2 linked regions of the Nothobranchius furzeri genome follow. Each later gene encodes a partner of the first gene's protein in a complex. Links are inferred from orthologs where the notes say so. Each region holds a gene or a part of one and is shown on either strand. Other genes may lie near its edges.

Region 1 (9,120 bases):
AGACCTGCATATGCTCTCCTGGAGGCTCAGAGCAGGAGCCTTCAGAGCTTCGGAGGCTGATCTCAGGTCGGCGTAGTCCTGCTGGCTCTGCATGCTCAACAGGTTGAGCTGGTCCTGCAGGAACTGGATGGTCTGTTGCATACCCTGGAGAGGAGGTCACTCAGATTTATACCAATAATGAAGCCATCCAGGCTTGTTTAGGAGAATAAACTTCACATGTCAGCAGGATGGTTAGACACTCACAGAGCTCTGAAGCCAACAGATCAAGGGGGTTGAATCTTACCAGCCGTTGTCTCTCCTGTGCCTGACTGATCCTGTCCTCCAGCTTGTCCTGTTCGTCCTGCAGGGAGCTCAGTCTGTGGACGGCCTCCTCCCGAAGACTGTCCAGGTCCTGATGCAAACTGTTGAAAAACAGACCCACAGACTCCTCCACCTGAAACAAGATGAGAAAACATACTCAGGTCTGCCCACACCTGAGCTAAAACTCTGCCTCATTTGTGAGGACGGGCAGGTCTGGACTCACCTTGTCAGCCAGAGCTCGCTGCTTCTCCACGGAGGACCTCAGAACATCACTCAGCTCGTTGACAGCAGATAAACCCATCAGAGTCCGAGCAGCCAGGACATCCTCCATGTCCTGCTGATGCTCCTCCTAAAAAAGTTCATTAAATGATCCTCAATAAAAACAGTGAATGCCTGGAGAAACGCTGAAGGGGCGTCGACTCCTGAAGAAACAAATTCAACTCAACAGAAAGTTGGAGAGTCTGTCAGCAGGTTAGCACACACACACACACACACACACCAGTGTTTCTTGTGCATAGGCTTTACCGTGGCGCTGCACCATGCCTACAAAGAAGCAGGAGGAACCACTCTGTTGTTGCATATGAACACAGTACGCAGGCAGCAAGGGGAAGCTGCACACAGACTTGTTGCTTTTTGATCTACTTGCTTCAAAAGGTCTAAAACAGGGGTCTCCAACATGTCGCTCGTGAAAAACCAGTAGCTCCTGACGCATTTGAAAGATGCTCGCCTGGAAGCTTAGTAGCCAGTAAGCCATCCCGCTTGACTTAATGATGGCCTAACTAATGAGCTTTAAAATGAGATGACACGCAGTCACCGTTTTCTGTAATATGTCAAATTTTTTTATTTTTGTGGACGTAAAATATAAATCTGATTATTGCAGAAATGTTTCCGTGTCATTCAGTGTTCAAGTCTGTACTTGTGGAAACACGCGGATTAATTGCTTGTGTTGCACCACAGATCTTTGTTTCTCCCCAGAAGAAGCTACAGTGATGTTCTGCTGAGCTGTGGTGGCCTCATGGAGGGGGCCATCGACTAGCACACTGTTGCTAACCACTTAAACATTCTCCCTCTCCTGATAACATTTTACTTTCTTTGACATTGAATGCGTTGCTACTAGTTTACCCGTTTAATTATAGATTTTATTAAAAACATCTTGTTCATTCAACCATTTGATTAATTAACTTATAAGTTGTAAAGCCTTGTAGGATTGTGTGGATTCGCTTTTTTATTCAGAGTGAGGAATCCAGCGGTCTGACTTTTAAGCAGAGAGAGAAGGGCTTTTGCAGGAGACCATGACAGTTTATATATGTCTGCATTGGAGAACAATAAGTAAGCAAAGGGTTGATTTGATTGTGTGTGTTTGTGTGGGCTGGTGTTGGTGTGTTTGCTCTGTCTTCTCGATCCCCAGTGAGTCGTGGTGGATGGCTGCTTATACTGAGCCAGGATACTCTGGAGGTTTCTTCCTGTTAAAAGGAAGTTTTCCTCTCCACTGTCGCTGCCGCAGAGTTAGCTCCGTGGAAAGGTTTCAGTAGAGTCTCGGCCTGGCTTGGAAACTGTTCCGTCATTTTCAGTCTCTCAACTTAGACCATTAGTTGTAGCGTTTGTGTATTCTGTTTTGGATATTTTTTGTGCAATTGTTGGACAAAATGACTTGCTGTGGTATTAATTGCACTACTAGAGCGTCCAAGGAGTCTCCACTTCATTTTTTTTTTCGGTAAGTAAAATTATATTTATGTATTTTAGGTCACTGCCGAGCTGAACTTAGATTTTACCATGTACTGTTTAACCATGAAATTGAAATGTAATAGGGTAAAACCCAGTGCATTTAACGTAATGCTGCACTTTAGAAAATGGGTTGAAATATAACATGTTGGTGGAGCTGAGTTTCGACTATCGGCTTGTGGAGCTCTCGGGAGACCGATGTTTTCCACCCGGTTTTACCCAGCGGTCAGCCCGGCGTATCTCTGACTCAGAAGCTCTGGTGTTGTGCACAGTTAACTCCGGTTGTAGCTAGTTCATATTTTTAAAATGATGACATGAAAAAGTAAAAATAAAAAGTTATGGAGAAATTTGGGTATTTTAAAGACAAAAGGGGAAAAATGTAAACGAAAAAACCAACAACGAATTTTACAAAACAAATTTTAGGCTAAATTTAGACATCAACTGAGAACCTAATTTTCCTCATATAGAGGGTTTAGTTAGTTGTCTGAAAACATAACATGTAAAAAAAAAATAAATAAATAAATAAAAAAAAAACACTAATACCGAAAATCGTGATATTTTGGTCACAATAACCGCGAGGTTAAATTTTCAAACCGTGACAACCTTACGGATGATTCTATGTATGTTTCAGTAATTGGCCTTTGCACTACTGTATTGACTTTAGGGCCGCAACTAACGATTTTCATAATCGATTATTCTGTTGATTATTTTTACGATTAATCAGTTTTTGTTAATCTACAAAATAAAATAATAATAATTAAAAAAAAACGCAGCAGGAGAAATCCAGAAAGAAGTCTTCATTATTTGTTGCAAGTACCGTATTGACCCGAATATGAGGTTTTTTTTTTCATTGAAAATAAATTTAAAATGTGGGGTTGTTTTCAAATCTAGGTCTAACCATTACACGCCCGTAACAGCAGGGGGCACCAGGCTGTGCGTTCTCAACAGGAGAAAAAAAATGGAGATGGGAGGTCCGGAGCAGAGTGGACCGAAAGTGGGGCAAATTAACAAGCTATTATGCGAATTTTAAGATGATGAACAATTCAGCAGAAACGTCAAACATTGCATGCATGGATGTATTGCATAGCAATGAGGATGATGTTCTGGGAGGAGTCTGCTGGTGTAGCGATCTGATGGTACACCCCGCAGCAGCATGAGTGAGGACAGTGAGGCAGAGGGCGTCTGAATAAAAGCCTCATTCGACTTTTGAGTTCACATGTCAGCAAAATTCTGATAGTTTGCATTAAAATAGTATTTTTGCTCAGTATTTGTTCTCAAATTTTCAATAAGAATTGTTAATTTAAAAAGTGATTTTTTTGGTCTTTTCCTCTTGGAAAGGGGGGATGTTCGATATTTGGTGTATGTTTAAAGGCTGTGAAACACCTCGCAACACACTTAAACATGTTCCTTAGACAAAATAAACATTTCTCATATTTCTTGCTTGTTTAAAGACTCAAAGTTAAAACCTTTGTAGATTTTAAAGCATACAAGTATAACTATACCACGTTTAATTCATCCGCACTCTGCTCGCCTACATCCTTTTCCACACAGTTGTCCTTATTTGAGCGAGGAACATAGTTATGGGTTTGTGTTGTTTTTCTATGGAGAACATTCTTATAAACAGACGTGCTAAATTTGGCAAGCGCGGGATACACGACACGGTGGAGATTCATAATTGTATCTAGTCAGTCAGCGGTAGGACACAATGAACGTTAGTACGCTACAAAGATGCAGCGTAAAATTGTACAACAAACTCAGCAAAGTCACAATAAGTGATCCGCATTATAGTGAGGGACTGCTGTAATTAGTGTTTATTTTCTAACTAGGTATAAGTTACCTACTGGGCTGGCTCTTCCGCTGCATCAACTTTCAAAAGTTTTCATCTCAGATTTTCATTTAGAGAAGTCGTGCTTCTGTGCCATGCTAGATCCTTTGTGTATATTTAGCAGATCACCCGTCTTTTCACAGCATCTAGAGTGAAGCACTCTCAACCTTTAGATGTTTCTGTTCAGGATTTCTTCTTCAGGTTTATCATTTCTGTTTCTTGGTCTGCTATTTTCCTCAGTGTGAGCATGGCATCAGCCTTGTGCGTGGTACGTCACGAAGAACAAAGGGTACTATTGGCCGATTTCTTCTTCTGCTGCTTCACTGGTAGATTAGTGGCTCATTACTGCCACACACTAGCCGTAAATTTAACAGACTGTAAACCAGGGGTGTCGAACTCATTTTAGCTCAGGGGCCACATTGAGGGAAATCTAGTCCCAAGTGGGCCGGACCGGTACATAAAAAAAAACTTCAGATTGTTTTCTTTGTTTTAATACAATCAATATAAAACAAGGCTGGAGCCTGAGGACAGTGTAGTACAAGTACAACACCTGAAGTGTACTTGAAAATTTGAAAAAATAGAAAATTAAAAAAACAAATAAAAAAAAACATTCCTTAGTGATTCAGAGCTTACAGATCACATGGCAAGATCAGTTTTATGCAGCACTTAAAGTATATTTGACTCATTTTACTTTACATATTTTAGCTTTCACCAGCACATCAACATCAGAAGTCACATCCTGAGTGGCGGCCATCTTCAGGATGTGATTCAAGTTCTTGTGTGGGCCTTGAGCGCAGCTTTGTTTTATTTATACTCATTACAGAGAAAACTTGCTCACAAAGATAAGTTCATTTTCACTCTACATTGTAAAGTATGAAAATAAAGTTTACACAACCATCTCGCGGGCCGGATTTAACCCGCATGCGGGCCAGATCCGGCCCGCGGGCCGCATGTTTGACACCCCTGCTGTAAACGATGTAACAGTAGTTTTAAAAAATAGACTGCTTATGGTAAAACGTGATTATAAAACAACTAATCAATGACTAAATAAGTTGTCTACCATTTTAATAATCGATTAAACTGATTAGTTGTTTGAGTTCTAATTGATTTGAAGAAAACAATTAAATAATTGATGCATCAACATAAATTATTCTTAATCGTAGAAGAAGCATGCCATAATCGATTATAGTGGAATTAGGGCTGGGCAATAAAACAAAAATGTATCGTTCTAGAGGTGAAATCCTCAATTAATCATGATATTGATTTTAGGCCATATTGCTCAGCCTTAAGTGGAATACATTTAGCTTTTTTAACCACGCCATCGGCGTGCCATCAACATTTTTCAGAGAGAGACGTGTCCTCCATATTTAGAGCAGGAAATACCGGCCCGCCATTATGTAGTGCTGAGCGCTGCAGGTCTAACCAGAGACAGAACCCGAACCGAGTCAACCTGACGGGTTGATTTAAAGAAAGCCTGTTATGAATGATCATGAGGGCCTCACCAGCAGCTGCAGCAGACTCTCCTTGTCCTGCAGACACACCGATTCATGCTGCTGGAGCTTCTCCCGACAGCGAGCCACGCCCTCAGCCACCACCGACCTGACTCCGCCTACAAGCGACTCCATGGTGGTGACGGTGCTTTTCAGCGCCACCTCATTCATCATGAGCAGACCGTCTGTAGGTGGGAGGAACAAAGTGGGTAGGGGTTACTCAGGGTCCCCGATGACAGTTCTGGGTCAAAGGTTAAATATTAAAATAAACCTGAGGAATAATTAAACTGAAACATGATTCGTTTCATCAACTAAAAACGAGCTCAGAAACATCAAAACAGGACTGAACTGAAAAGTAATGTTGCTTAAATATGAATTTGTTCCCAAACTGGGAACACTGGTTTTGTCCAACTATAAGCCAACAGGTGCTTTATTCTAATCAGACTCAGAGCTAACCAAACAAAACTTTTGATCCGAGTGGAGAAGCTGAATGGACCACATGAACAGACGTTTATGCCTGAACACCAGTCGTACGTGCAGACCCATGAGCACCCTTGGTGCTTTGATCGTACCAACAGCCTGTGAGCAGCTGCTGAGCAGCTCGTTGTGTTTGGCTCCGTGACGGTGGACGCAGCGTTGCATGCTGCTCAAGGCTCCATCCATCCGCTCAGCAAAGCTTTGCTGCATCTGTTTGTTGTGATTCTCCACCTGCAAGTCAACACAAGTTTATTAGTCCGGCTGAAACATCAAGCACTGAGTCTAACAACCAATATGAGGAACTTCTCTCGTATTTTAATACACGTGCAGTGGTCATCTAGTGGAAATAGATGCCTTCTAAGTCAAACTCTATGGAAAAAAGCTCAGATGCTCGTTTCAGCATGGACGATTCAGCCTGAGGAGAAAGTAGCGTCAGACGGCAGGATTTAGAGTTTTATTTCCTAATATTTGGACATCTCATCTCCGACTGGGTAACAGCAACACGACCCTACCACTGACTCCGTTAGCTTTGCAACATGCACGTTTCATTCCCACAAATACAAGCCTGGAGTTCTGCTGTGTGGTGGAGTTGCTAATGCTAACGGTTAGCATAAAGTAGTTGGGACGTTCTCTGCCATTTCCTGGTCGCTAAACCAACAGCAGCCTTCCCCGTCGTAATCAAGATGGGTGAGTCCATGAATGTTAAGTGACAGTGTGACGTAGATCTGTCAGGATTTTCTAATCCTAGTTTCATCGTCTACTTTCTGTCAGAAGCTAATGCAGGAGACAGATGTAGGAGACTATTTTCATGTTCAGCCTGCATGAAAAACTCAAGAGTACAATCAGAATTGATTAAAGCAGTTTTTTTTTCAGTAAAAGGACCTCTTCAAAAAGTTGAAAGTCATGTGTGTGTGTGTGTGTGTGTGTGGTGGTTGGGGGTGGGGGGGGGTTAGATCTGATCAAGAAGCTCGTTCTCAAAAGAAATGTTTGAGCTGTTTGGTAATATTTTGGGTTCAGAAGGGACAAAGCTTTTGAAAAAGTAATTTTACTTTCCTTTTTTCAGATGTACTAATACATCTTAAAGACAAATCCTTATTTTTACCGTTTTAAGTAGAGAATAAAACAACAAACAGGTTGTGGGGGAAATTAATAACACTAGCAGTGGAGCAATTATTCTGCCAAAGCCACATCTAGTGGCCCACTTTGGGCATTTACCGTCCAGGTGAACGCCCTGCCCTCGGGTTTAATACTGCTCTATGGTGGACGGTTCTAGTCTGGAGGTAATTTAGAATCTGTGGTTCTTTCCAGAGAAATGTTTTTAATGTTCTCCCTCATCCTGAAAATACCACAAGCGAGGAGGGACATCAGACAGAACCAGTTGCTTTTCCCCATGAAGATTTGGCTTTTTTTGATTAGACATTTTTACAACATGACCTCTGAACGTGACAATACAACCAATTATAAATTCTCTTCATCGTGTTTATTTTGACTCACTACTAACGACTGACGATTGCTTGTGTGTGAATCTGTTTGACCTTTTTCTTCCTGTCCAGCTTGTCGTGGAGACCCGACACGTCTCTGGTGCTGGCGTCGGCAGTGCTCAGCAGCTGGAAGCATGGAGGAGAGGGTGGGGTCAGACACGTTTAAAAATCACTCAGTGGAAACATTTAAAATTGAGAAACTGGAAATTTTAGGGAAAATTTTTTAATTTCAAAATCATGAAAGTGATTCTAACTCATAAGAGACGAGAAGTGAGAAAACAGGATGTTAGGTGTTTGGCTTAGAGACACACCTGTCCAGCTGTGTTGTACAGAGACTCGTGGACAGAAGTGACCTCTGAGCAGATGAACTCCTCCTCAACCAGCTTCTCCTTGGTCTGCTGCAGGTCTTTGCTCGTCTCCTCCAGCCTAAAGCCGATAAACTCATAAATTCCAGAAAACTCCGATCAGAGTCCTCTGCGGTCTGATTTCAGCCTGTGGAATGAAATACCTCTTATGCTTCTCATCCAGGTCAGCGGTGCACTGCTCCAGTTTGGTTTGGCTGTCCTCAAACAGCTCGGTCACCTGCAGAGGAATCGCATCATGAACGGTGCAGCGATGGGAGAAAAAACTGCTGCCAGCTCAGGTTTGTGACAAACCACGAACCTCTGCCTCAACAAAAGCAACTCCCGTTTTCATGTTTGTGATGGAGAGTGAAAAAGAGGGTGGTACCTTTCTAAGCTCCTCCTCCATGATTATGATTTTGTCCACGTATTCTGCAATCTGCTCCTCATGAGCCGTGATCTGTGTCATCATGCTCCTGAAAACAAACATGTCAGTTCAGACCCAACTCAGGATCAGGATGAGAACTGCCTTTGAGCCAGACTTAATGGCAGAACTTTCTTATTCTGTTTTTATTCATTGTTAGGGGCGGGCTACATGATGATATCACATCATGACAGGATAGAACACGTAGATCAGCGATACTCAATTGGCGGCCCACGGGACACGTCCGGCCCGCAAGCCCTCTCTTTGTAGCCCCGAAACCCCATGCACACACCCCCACCCTCGATGACCGACCGGGAGGTGTATAGAGCTGAGGAAAACAATCGATGCATAAGATGCGGGCATGAACGATTCTGCATCATAGATGAGTACACCATAATCAATTATAGTGGAGTGTAGTTTTGTTATTTTAACGGCGGCACCAGCGTAGCATCCAGATCTGTCAGAGCGGTGTTCTCCACTTTTACTGGGTAGGAAACTTTGGTCCGCCTTTATGTGGTTCTACAGGGCTGAGCACTGGAGTTGTAACCTGAGACCGAACCGGAACCGAATCAGCCCGACCAGTTCGGTTGGATTTGGGCCGCGAATTATGGTAATTGAGTGGGCTTCAACTCAACTTGGGTGACTGTGTGAAGGGTTGCCCATCCATAAATTTATAATCACTGGGTTTATTTAGCACCCGGTTTTTTATTATTATAAATTTCAAATGCATAATGAAACACTACAGCCCTACAGACCAGTCTGGTTTTAAAAGGTCAATTTAAATATCAGGTTCTTAACTACAGTAAAAACTGGGACTTACTCGTAGTTTTCTGAAGACAAATAAACTCCGTTCTTTTCTCTGACAGCAATCAGGTCACGTTTCAGCCGCTCGATCTCCTCCGTATATTCCTGAACACAACCGGTGTTGGGTTTAATGATTTCACAGATCAGCTGATGGGACTCCACCAATCAGGAACACTAAGAACCTCTTAATAAAGTGAGCTGAACTTTTAAAGTTAAGCAAAAAAAACAAAAACAAAAATGGAGTCACATTAATAAA
Region 2 (9,910 bases), on another chromosome or scaffold:
TTCAGTACTTTAGCTTCCCCACTGAATGTTCCTCCCAGCAGGCCGATGATTTCCCCCCGTGACACGTGAGCGTGCTTAATGCAGGATCACAGGACATTTATTCAGCGCAGAATAAATAAAACCATATGAATGTAATAGAGTGACGGGTGAAACAGCAAAACAACAATGGGATGAGGCTGTGTGCAGCAACTACCATGTCCATGATGAGGAGAGTCTCGGCACACACAACGACCTGAAACGGCTCCTACAGATCACACACAAGTATTTATATAAATTAACATGAATCTGTCATAATATTTCTTTAATTCTGCAGAACCTGGTGCAAAATATTTGATTCATTATAGATTTTATGAAACACACATTCATGCAATTTATAAACAGCCTTCTTCTGCCACCCGAAGAGTGCAGACGCTCCTCTTTTCTCACGGCTCTTGTCCTGTCTGTCTACAGAGCGCTTCTCTGCATTCCTTCTGTAAACTCGATATTTTATTAAATCATGGATTTGGTCGACTGGTCATTCAACAGGATTGACAAGATTTTTTTTTCAACAGTGAGAACAGAGTGGGGGTCTCAGCTTGTCCGGATGGATCGCACCCAGTGGGGTATATTCTGGATTCCTGGAAGCAGTGGAATATTATATGCCTTTCTCAGCTGTCTGTGGAGGACGTTGAAGACATATGGATTATTGGCCTGATATTTACTGGATTTTTTTCCAATTGGAATGGGATGATTTGTGGTATTTTGGAAAATTGGGAATTCAGGGGCGATTGGAGTGCCACCCGTACCCACCGAAAGTCTCAGCCGTGTGGAGACTGCTCAGACTGGGACGCAGCTCAAGGGGAATCACAAGTTAGAGGTCCAAGCTGCGATCCCAGAGTTAGCGCACAAAATGGATGTGATCTTGGAGAAAGTCACTGCACGGTACAGGCAACTTTAAACCCAATAATTGGATTTGCTGAGAGACTGAAGATCAGTTAAGAACTGAAAGGCAGAGAGGAAATTATCTCTACCTTCCCCAAAACAATTCTTCACTCTGGTGCCCTGGTAGCCTTGAGCTGCGAGAAGAAAACTCCTCCACGAAGGAATGCAGACAGATGCTGTGGAAACCCGCCCTACCCCTGCCTTTAGATTTGTGGTCTTAGCCTGGCAAGGTCACCAAAGGTAGGAGTCAATGTGCTTCACTCCCTCGCTCTCCCTCCAACCTGCGTACAACAGCGATCGAGCGAAGGCACTGAGGCTGCGGCTCTCTCTGGAGGAAACAGGTTTCCAGCCCAGCTTACCAATGAGGACGAAACGATTGTGGTAAATTTGCAACTTCCTGCTGATTTACACCTAAATGTTAGGTCGTTTTGGCCGACACGTATTAAAGTGAACCTTGAGCATTTTTGCAAACACATAGCCTGTAAAATGATTTGATCTCTGAGAAGCAGAAAACAAAAAAGTATTTCAATCTTATCACAGCGTACCAAACGCATACAAACAACAGCCTAACTGGTAACTCGGTGAGGACTGCTGACCTGTACGTCGTCTTCAAACGACCTGCAGGGAATCAGCTGGAATGGATCTAAAGACCTAACAGAGGAGTAAATCATCAGTAATGTTTATTCATAGTTTATTACTTCTTCCATTACGTTGCTCACCATCTGTATTTTGACATCTTGCAGGGTTTAGGGTGCTTCCTCATCTCCTCCCTCCTCAAAGCGAGCTCCTTAGCACCGAGATGCTAATAAACACATTGCACAAATACAATCAGCAGAAAGACCCTTGTCAATTCAGCCAGGTGGAAGTTTTTTCATGTTTCAAAGTCCAAACCTCGTATGTCTGTCCTTCCAAATCTTTAGCATCACACCAGTTCCCCCAGATGTCGCGCACACGCCTCCTCCTGGTCCGCTACAAACCATCAAACGTTAGCTCGAGTCTGCCACACCTTGGTGGTGACGGTTTGGTGCTTTAGCGTGTTCCTACCATACTCTGGAGTCTCTGAGCCAGCTGATAGGCTTCCAGCACGTCTTTGCCCTCCTTGTGTTTGGAGCGGTCCACCACTTTGGGGCGATTATACACTGCTTGCTCTACAAGGATTCAAACATCAACAAATGTTAGAGGGAAACACAACAACAGGAGTAAACATGGGAGGGGGGGGGGGTTACCACAGTTGAAGTTGATTGCCCCAATGAGCTCCAGGTAGGTGTGTATTCTCCCGATGCAGTTGACATCCCCACAGTTCTTCAGACCAGGACGGACTGAGGTCTTGTTGAGGTACTTGGGTTTATTTTTCAGCCTAATGGACACAAAACATAAAAAGTCACTTCTGTAGAAGTCCGTTCTCAACCTGGAAACTACCAGCCATCCTTCCTTCCCCAACTGGGAATCATCAAACTGGACCTGCTTGTTCAACAACATCAGAGCTATTCCTTTGCTGGTCTCATAACTTCTCATTCTGTGACTTTAGTGTAGGTGTGTGTGTTTGTGGTACCACTGATCCAGGATGTAGTTTCTAATCTTAAGATATCTTTCTGGGGTTTTGGACGGTCGTCCCTCAAAGAACTCTGGGATGGCTTGTTTCTCGTCCTCAGTGATCGTCTCTGTGTCCATCTGAATTTCTCGCTCAGGGGCTTTGAGCTCCTCCTCTTCCTCGTCTTCATAGTCTTCCTCCAGCTCCTTTTCCGATTCGTAATTTTCAATCTTATCATTAGAGTCTACGAGGCAATACATTTTATTTTACAGATGAACACAAATAATAATTCAATAAGCAAAAAAGAAAAACTGATAGTGGATCACCTGTGCAGGTGTGATCATCTTCACCTAGCTGAATGTCACACAGAGAACTCTGACCTTCGTTTGCCTCAGCCGTCTCCTCTGGAGGGGTTTCTGTCTCTATAGCCTTCTCAGTTATCCTCAGTTTGTCACCTTCATCATTGCAAACTAAATCAGAAAAGCCCAGAGGACTTTGTAGAGGAAGAGAGCTCTGGCAGGGTTGGTCCTCTGTCTCATGAACGTTCTCCCCCTCACTCAGGTCTGATTCTGTTTGTTCTTCTTTAGGCTCTTCTGAATCACAGAATCCAGTTTGGACAACTCTCCCTTCATCCTCACTCTGGTTATCAGTGATGTCTACATCCTCATCGTCAGAAAGTCTCTCTATGCGAACAGCGTTGGACAGAACAGAAGCACAGACGGAGGCTGGCGGAGGAGGGTGTGAGTGCAGGTCAGGACCTGCAGACGAAGCAGCAGCTTTGGGTTCGGGTTTATCCTTAAGTGGGAATACAAAAGAAAAGTAAATAAAAGATGTGTTTGCACATCCAGCTAAGCAACGAAGACAGTTCACCTTTTGCTTGAAATGCTGTCTGGCATAACTCTTGACCTGAAGAACACTACGGGTGCCCACCAGCTTGGCAATTTTAGTCCACCTTCGACCAAATTGGGCCTGCAAAAATAAATAAAAGAAAAAAGAGAAAATCAGTTTCTTGAAAAATTATCTGAACCTGCAACAAAACAGCAGATTATAATCTTAATTTCAGACATTCAGCTCAGCTGAGTAAAAAAAAAAACCTCACCAATCCTTCCTCAAAGCGCTCCTTTTCCTGTTTTGACCAGCGAGACGATGAAGCGGACATTGAGGTTGAGTTCTTGGATAGAGACCTTATCGTTCAACAGAAAGGAGAATCAATACTTACCAACAGACTCAGGAATCAGTGAACAGATAAGGAGAAATGCAGAGAGACTTACTTCTTCACTTTAGGCTTTTTGTTAGAATCACTGTGCAGAATGTTGTCAGGAACCGCCTTACCTGTGAGGTAATATCTGAAGTCACAGTTCAGGATGTCTGCTATCTGCTTTAGTCCATGTTTTCCTTTATGTGAGCTGTTGACTAAAACATTTTAAGCTATAGGTAACAACAAAAAGGGAGAAAAAAATGAACCCTAGTTAATGTAAACATTTCTTTAGTTATTTTATACTCAAAAGAAAAAATGTTTAGTGTGTTTTATCTGGATCAGACTGATTAATCAGTAACAATGAACTTCATTCTCTATTCTACTGTTTATTGTTATTACTACTCCAAACACCTGTTTGATTTAGTTTGTTACTTCCTGTTTGTATTACACTCATTTCTTTCCTGTTTAAAGTGGCAGTAGAACACTGTTTCTTTACAACTGGAACCACTACTTTGAGCCTCTGTGTAGCTTGACAAACTTTGCTGGGGCTCACAATGGCCCAGGAGCCCTGATTAATGGCCAAATTCAAACCCATGAATTTGTGCTACAATGAAAAGACTGGTTTACCTCACCCACTTGGTCAGGATATGAATATGAAATGAGTTGCTGTTTGTTTTACCCCAATGGTTACGCATCACTTGGAGCTATAAACTCTTTCCTTTGTAGAGGATAAAGTATCGTTGGAGCAAACTGGTCCTTAATACTTTAATTGGTGCAAGACAAACTTCAGAGTTCTCTGAAAAAGACATAAGCTGTCGAAACACAAGTTCTGTTTGTTTTGCACCAATTAAAGTATTAAGGACCAGTTTACTTCAGCCATACTTTATCCTCTCCATTTGATGTCCCATGGGCTGTCGGAGCACCGGATGTCCTCTGCATGATGCTTGACGTGCTCTTCTATTACTAAACTCCTTGCTTTCTTTCTGTGTGCGTGTGTGAGGGCGTGTGTGTGTGTGCATGTGTGTGTGAGGGTGTGTGTGTGTGTGTGTGTGTGTGGGGGGGGGTGTTAGTGTCCAGCTGAGTGACCATCTTGCCTGTTGTAAAGCGGTGACGTGCGGAGGAAGTTAGTGTTAAGTCAAGCGACTGCTCTGTAGGTTGTGGTGCGATGGTTTGTTGAGGAGACTAAGTGTCCCAGTACATCCTGGAACATGAGTGCTTCAACCAGCTTCTTGCATTCCCCCCCCCCCCCCCCCCATCAAAGACGTTAGTAGTAGCTCAGCCTAGTGTTGTTCTGCGGTTAGCATTAACGTGACCAGAGGTTGTATTGCTGACACTAAAGTGGGTTGGAATATGCAAAGCAGCAGGTGTGTATAGTTTACTTGTTACAACCAACTTTTATCAGAATCAACCGTCCCCCCTTCACCTTTTTAAGATGACTAATTTACACAGAGAGCAGGTCAAACATGACTGACTTTTTGGTATGCCACATTTGACACCCCAAGGTTCCTTTATCAACAAGGTAAATGCAGCTTTATATTCTATTACCCCTTTAAGTGTTGAGATAACAACTTAAAAATAAATAGGCTGAAAAAACACCACTTAGTGGCACAGAAGCTTTCTGACTCATCAGCCTGCTGATGATATGATGATGAGGAGGAGGTTTCTGTGTCATCTTCACACAGACAAGTGCCTAATTAATGTGTGTGCAAACACAAAAACAAACAGAAGAATGCAGAAAGTTGTTTTATATCAAAATAATCTCTCTGAACCCTTTGGGGGAATGATGAAAGGATACTGTTCCTCCAGCAGCATCCTCTCTATCACCTCTCTGTTCTCAGGGCTGATGGAGCTGTCCAGTTCCCAGGGCTGTTCAAACAGCACACAGAATCAGGACCAGGACCAACACACACACACACACACACACACACACACACACGATCTGCCTGAACAGCTGTGTGAGAATTCATACCAGGATCCAGGAGCTGCTTTTGCCCACAGACTGGACGAACTGATCCTGGATTACACCTCCTTCGTCTATCTCACTGAAACAGCATGAAAACAAGCAGCTATTAATTCCAGATGTGAAATAAACAAAGAAACGCACACACACACGCGCGCGCACTAACTCTCTCTCTCTCTACTCCATGCCATACAGACAGCTAGCTAGCTTCGAAGTGGTAAGTCTTTTTTTAAAGTTGTAGCACCTTTGAAGATACAAAACCAAAGGTGCTTTAAACAAACTAGCAGAAAAATCAAATGATAAAACAACAAAAATAATCAGTAAGATAAGAAGCAGGTCTACAACAGATAGCAAAGCTAAGGCTAATAGTCAAAGAGCCTCTCCCAGCTAATTGAACGGTAACACATGGCTCCTGTGGTTCGCAGACACACTGTTTACCCAGAGTTAGTCAGCATTCTTACCGGACATTACAATCAAAATCGTCTCCCTCGATGTCAACATCCACGTCGTCCTCCATGTTGTCGGACAGACGTAAACATAACATTAGTCTGCGCCGCTTTGGTGAGAAACACATACCACGTTGAGCCACAGCGCCACCATGTGGCTCGGATGAACGACTGTTCGGTTAACATTGATGTCAACGGTCTGTCTCTGGATTAGCCTGTTTACATTTAAGCCTGTTTATCTTACACACACACACACACACACACACACACACACACACACACACACACACACACACACACACACATATATATATATATATATGTTATGGCATGGCGTTCAGGAAATCATTATATATTTATACCAGAATACTTCTGAATATATGGACCAAAGTGTGAATATTTGGACCGAAGTATGAATATATGGACTGAAAGTGTGAATATATGGACTGAAAGTGTGAATATATGGACTGAAAGTGTGAATATATGGACTGAAAGTGTGAATATATGGACCGAAGTTTGAATATTTGGACTGAAAGTGTGAATATATAGACCGAAGTATGAATATATGGACTGAAATTCTGAATATATGGACTGAAAGTCTGAATATATGGACCGAAGTCTGAGTATTTGGACTGAAAAATGTGCTTCAAGTGGGTTCGGTTTGCAGCAACGTGCATCGCCACTTCAAACTCTGACCTCTCGGCATACCTTTTTTTTAATACTTTTTTCTTGGCGGTGAGCACTGGTAGTTTTTCGGGTCATTTATTAGTCGAAATCTCCGAGTTCTAAAAAAATATCTTTCCCTCCAACATCAGCCGTCCACAGTCCGTGCCCAGCGCAGCCACTCCCGATAGGACACGCTCTCCACGAAGGTCCGCATTTTGCGCCAAAGGTGCATCACTGCCGTGAGACGCACAGTGCAGTCAGCAATAGGATGCTTATTGTAATGTAAAATTAATTAAAATCAAGCTTAAATAGATCTAGAAATCTTACTTTTACTGTCATTCTGTTGTGGAAAATATTCAATGAAAAGTCTCTATTGTACACCTGTCTATATTTATAGAATCTGCTGATGGTTTAAAGTAATTTTAATTAAAGTTATTCAGAGCCGCTGTAGAAGTCCAAAGAGCCCGAGTTAAGCTGTGGTAACTGTAGAGGAACCGTGAAACAGTCCGAAAGCTTTTCTGTTAGCCTGTTCAAGTTGAATTCAAATAAAATTTATAGAACATTAAACATATAATGATGATGATAGTAATAATTGTATGTATATTTAACAGTGACTTCATAGCTAAAAGGCAGAATAGATTTTCTGTTTGGCCTCTCATTTTTGCAGATGATGTGGTCCTGTTGGCTTCATCAGGGGGCTCGGAGTAAATCCACTGCTCCTTCACATCGAGAGGAGCCAGTTGGGGTGACTTGGGCATCTGAGTAGGATGCCTCCTGGGAGTCTCCTTGGTGAGTTTTTCTGGGCACGTTCAACTGGGAGGAGAACCCAGTGAAGACCCAGGACACGCTTGAACAAGTATGTTCCATGGCCAGGGAACGCCTTGACATATATACATACACACACATATATATATAATTTTATTTGTATTTATATATATATATAAACTAGAGGTGGGAAAAATGATCGATTCTAAGATGCATCGCGATTCAGCCGTGCATGATTCCGCATCGATGCAGCAATGCGACATAATGAGATTTTCTCCCTATGTCTATGCAGGACAATAAAGTTTTGAGGTTTTATAATTACTTCAGGGGGCAAAGTTGCAATGACATGCGCACTGCGTTGCCCTAGCGCCATTTAAACCAGAAAAGGCGGACAGGGATACGGGGCCAACATTACCAGTAATCAAAGATGTACCCGTTACATTTAAATCGGATGTCTGGGCTAATTTCGGTTTTGGGATCCTGGATGTGAAAGAATCACTTAACACAGTATTTGTTTACTATTTTTAAGTTCAGTTGTATTCCATCTTAAAGCTGCTCTACAGAAAACATTTCTTATATTATTTAAGTAATTATAGGCAGCACACTTTAAAAATTGTTGCTCACTATAGTGAATAGATGTACTGTATGTTCTGTTTTTCAGGGATGTCGAAATAAAAAGAAATTGAAAACTATTTTACTGCTTTTATTAAGTCATGAAAAATGGGTGAAGAATTTTGATGCATTTCAGACTCAAATCGAATCTTTAGGCATAATCGGAATCGGATCGAATCGTGGGGCAAGTAGAGATGCACACCACTAATATAAATACAAATAAAATTGCTTTTCTCAAAAAATAATTAAAATTAATTAATTAAAAAATAAAGTCCCAGGTTAGATTTGTTTTTTTGTTTTTAGCTGAAAGTTTCTTAGAACACAACAGACTTGTCTTCTTTAATTTTCACACCACACTTTTCCCTGGAAAAGCCTCACATAAATCATTATTATTAGTATACAGAAAATTTACTGGAGGCCAGGCAATAATATTCAGACACAAAGTGAAAGACAACAAAAAAAAGGTTTTATTTAGAAAGAATTCACAGTTTCTAATGGCACTACAGTTTTTGTAGTAACTCACTCCTGGTCAAAAATACTGTGCAGCTCTTCAGACTCAGAAAGGAGGAAGAGAAAAGAACCGATCACACTTCACATAGAAAAAAGGCACGAGGAGTCACACAAAGTGCAGAATGAGTGTGTACAAATATCTGCAAGTGCTTCCTCCCCGTGTTATGGGTTTAATAAAAAGGTTCCAAGTAGTTTTTCTCCTTACACAAACACACACGACACATATGAAATAATCTCCTAATCGACACACACACACACACACACACACACACACACACACACACACACACACACACACACACACACACACACACACACACACACACACACACACACACACACACACACACACACACACACACACACACACACACACACACCAATAGAGTAGGAGAAATAAAGAAAAACAGGTTTGCTCTGCTTGTGGAATAAACGTGATCACATTAATGGTGTTGCAAATCTGATTCGTCATTCCCGTTTTCCCTTTAACCAATAATAATTCATCTCCTCTGCACCCCCCCCCCCCCCGTGTCATTCAAAGTGGGTTGAACACATGGAATTAAACAGCAACAGCGAGTGACATGTGGAGTGTAATGTGAGAGTGAGGACATACAAAGATGAGTAGAGTTAAAAAAGAAAGCATTTCATGCTCCTACTTAAACATGGAGTGGTTAATGCAAGCAGACATATTCAAAGGTTTCTTCACAGTCACAGAGCAACGAGGGCCGGGGGTGGAGGGGAGCACAGAAGAGCTGTAGGATCAAACAGTAACAAAAGGAGAAACATTGTCCAAGTTCTGTCTCTGTCAGTGTTCACAACTGCAGCCACACTCAGCCTGTCAGAAACCACATGTAGAAACAAATCGTTTACTTTTCATTTTGTAAAAACAAAACACGAACACCCCACTGAGTTTGGAATCACCATTTTGAACGGGGCGACTTACAACAAGTCATCCACAGAAGACGAGCAAACAAGCAAAGACGAGACAGAAAAACTCCATCCAACTACGCCGACGGCTCCAGACACAGCAGCACTCTGCTCCCAATAAACCCAAGGCTTCTAAAATCAATACTCAATTATTTCTGCTGGATATCAAACGTCATGGCTGGAGCTTCAGGCCGAGGCATAAAGACAAAACGAGGAGAAAAAGTGTGTTGTTGAGCGATTGTACGCGTCAGATCTATTGACGTAAACAATCTCCTGTCACCGTGTTGAACTGGGAGACCAGCAAACCAGTACCATCATCAGAAAAAGGCTAGATTTAAATAAATAAATAGATAAATATAACTGGTCTGTCAGAA

Evidence for each region.
Region 2: kif11 (region 1) and mysm1 share a complex: the UniProt entries of both Homo sapiens proteins name them as parts of the large chromatin remodeling complex. The link is inferred for Nothobranchius furzeri from reciprocal best matches to the Homo sapiens genes KIF11 and MYSM1.

What each region holds. Positions count from the first base shown.
Region 1 is NC_091752.1:45,731,751-45,740,870, reverse strand, and holds part of kif11 (kinesin-like protein KIF11), read right to left. Parts: intron 8,970-9,120; coding exon 8,881-8,969; intron 8,113-8,880; coding exon 8,025-8,112; intron 7,878-8,024; coding exon 7,804-7,877; intron 7,722-7,803; coding exon 7,607-7,721; intron 7,422-7,606; coding exon 7,350-7,421; intron 6,046-7,349; coding exon 5,910-6,045; intron 5,523-5,909; coding exon 5,350-5,522; intron 650-5,349; coding exon 524-649; intron 434-523; coding exon 284-433; intron 145-283; coding exon 5-144; intron 1-4. UniProt on the Homo sapiens protein: Motor protein required for establishing a bipolar spindle and thus contributing to chromosome congression during mitosis. Required in non-mitotic cells for transport of secretory proteins from the Golgi complex to the cell surface.
Region 2 is NC_091748.1:42,203,251-42,213,160, forward strand, and holds the start of mysm1 (histone H2A deubiquitinase MYSM1), read right to left. Parts: upstream 6,204-9,910; 5' UTR 6,185-6,203; coding exon 6,072-6,184; intron 5,693-6,071; coding exon 5,620-5,692; intron 5,517-5,619; coding exon 5,446-5,516; intron 3,881-5,445; exon of another isoform or gene 3,799-3,880; coding exon 3,724-3,798; intron 3,637-3,723; coding exon 3,552-3,636; intron 3,422-3,551; coding exon 3,323-3,421; intron 3,248-3,322; coding exon 2,779-3,247; intron 2,697-2,778; coding exon 2,474-2,696; intron 2,279-2,473; coding exon 2,148-2,278; intron 2,070-2,147; coding exon 1,966-2,069; intron 1,891-1,965; coding exon 1,813-1,890; intron 1,724-1,812; coding exon 1,641-1,723; intron 1,573-1,640; coding exon 1,518-1,572; intron 245-1,517; coding exon 194-244; intron 75-193; coding exon 1-74. UniProt on the Homo sapiens protein: Metalloprotease with deubiquitinase activity that plays important regulator roles in hematopoietic stem cell function, blood cell production and immune response.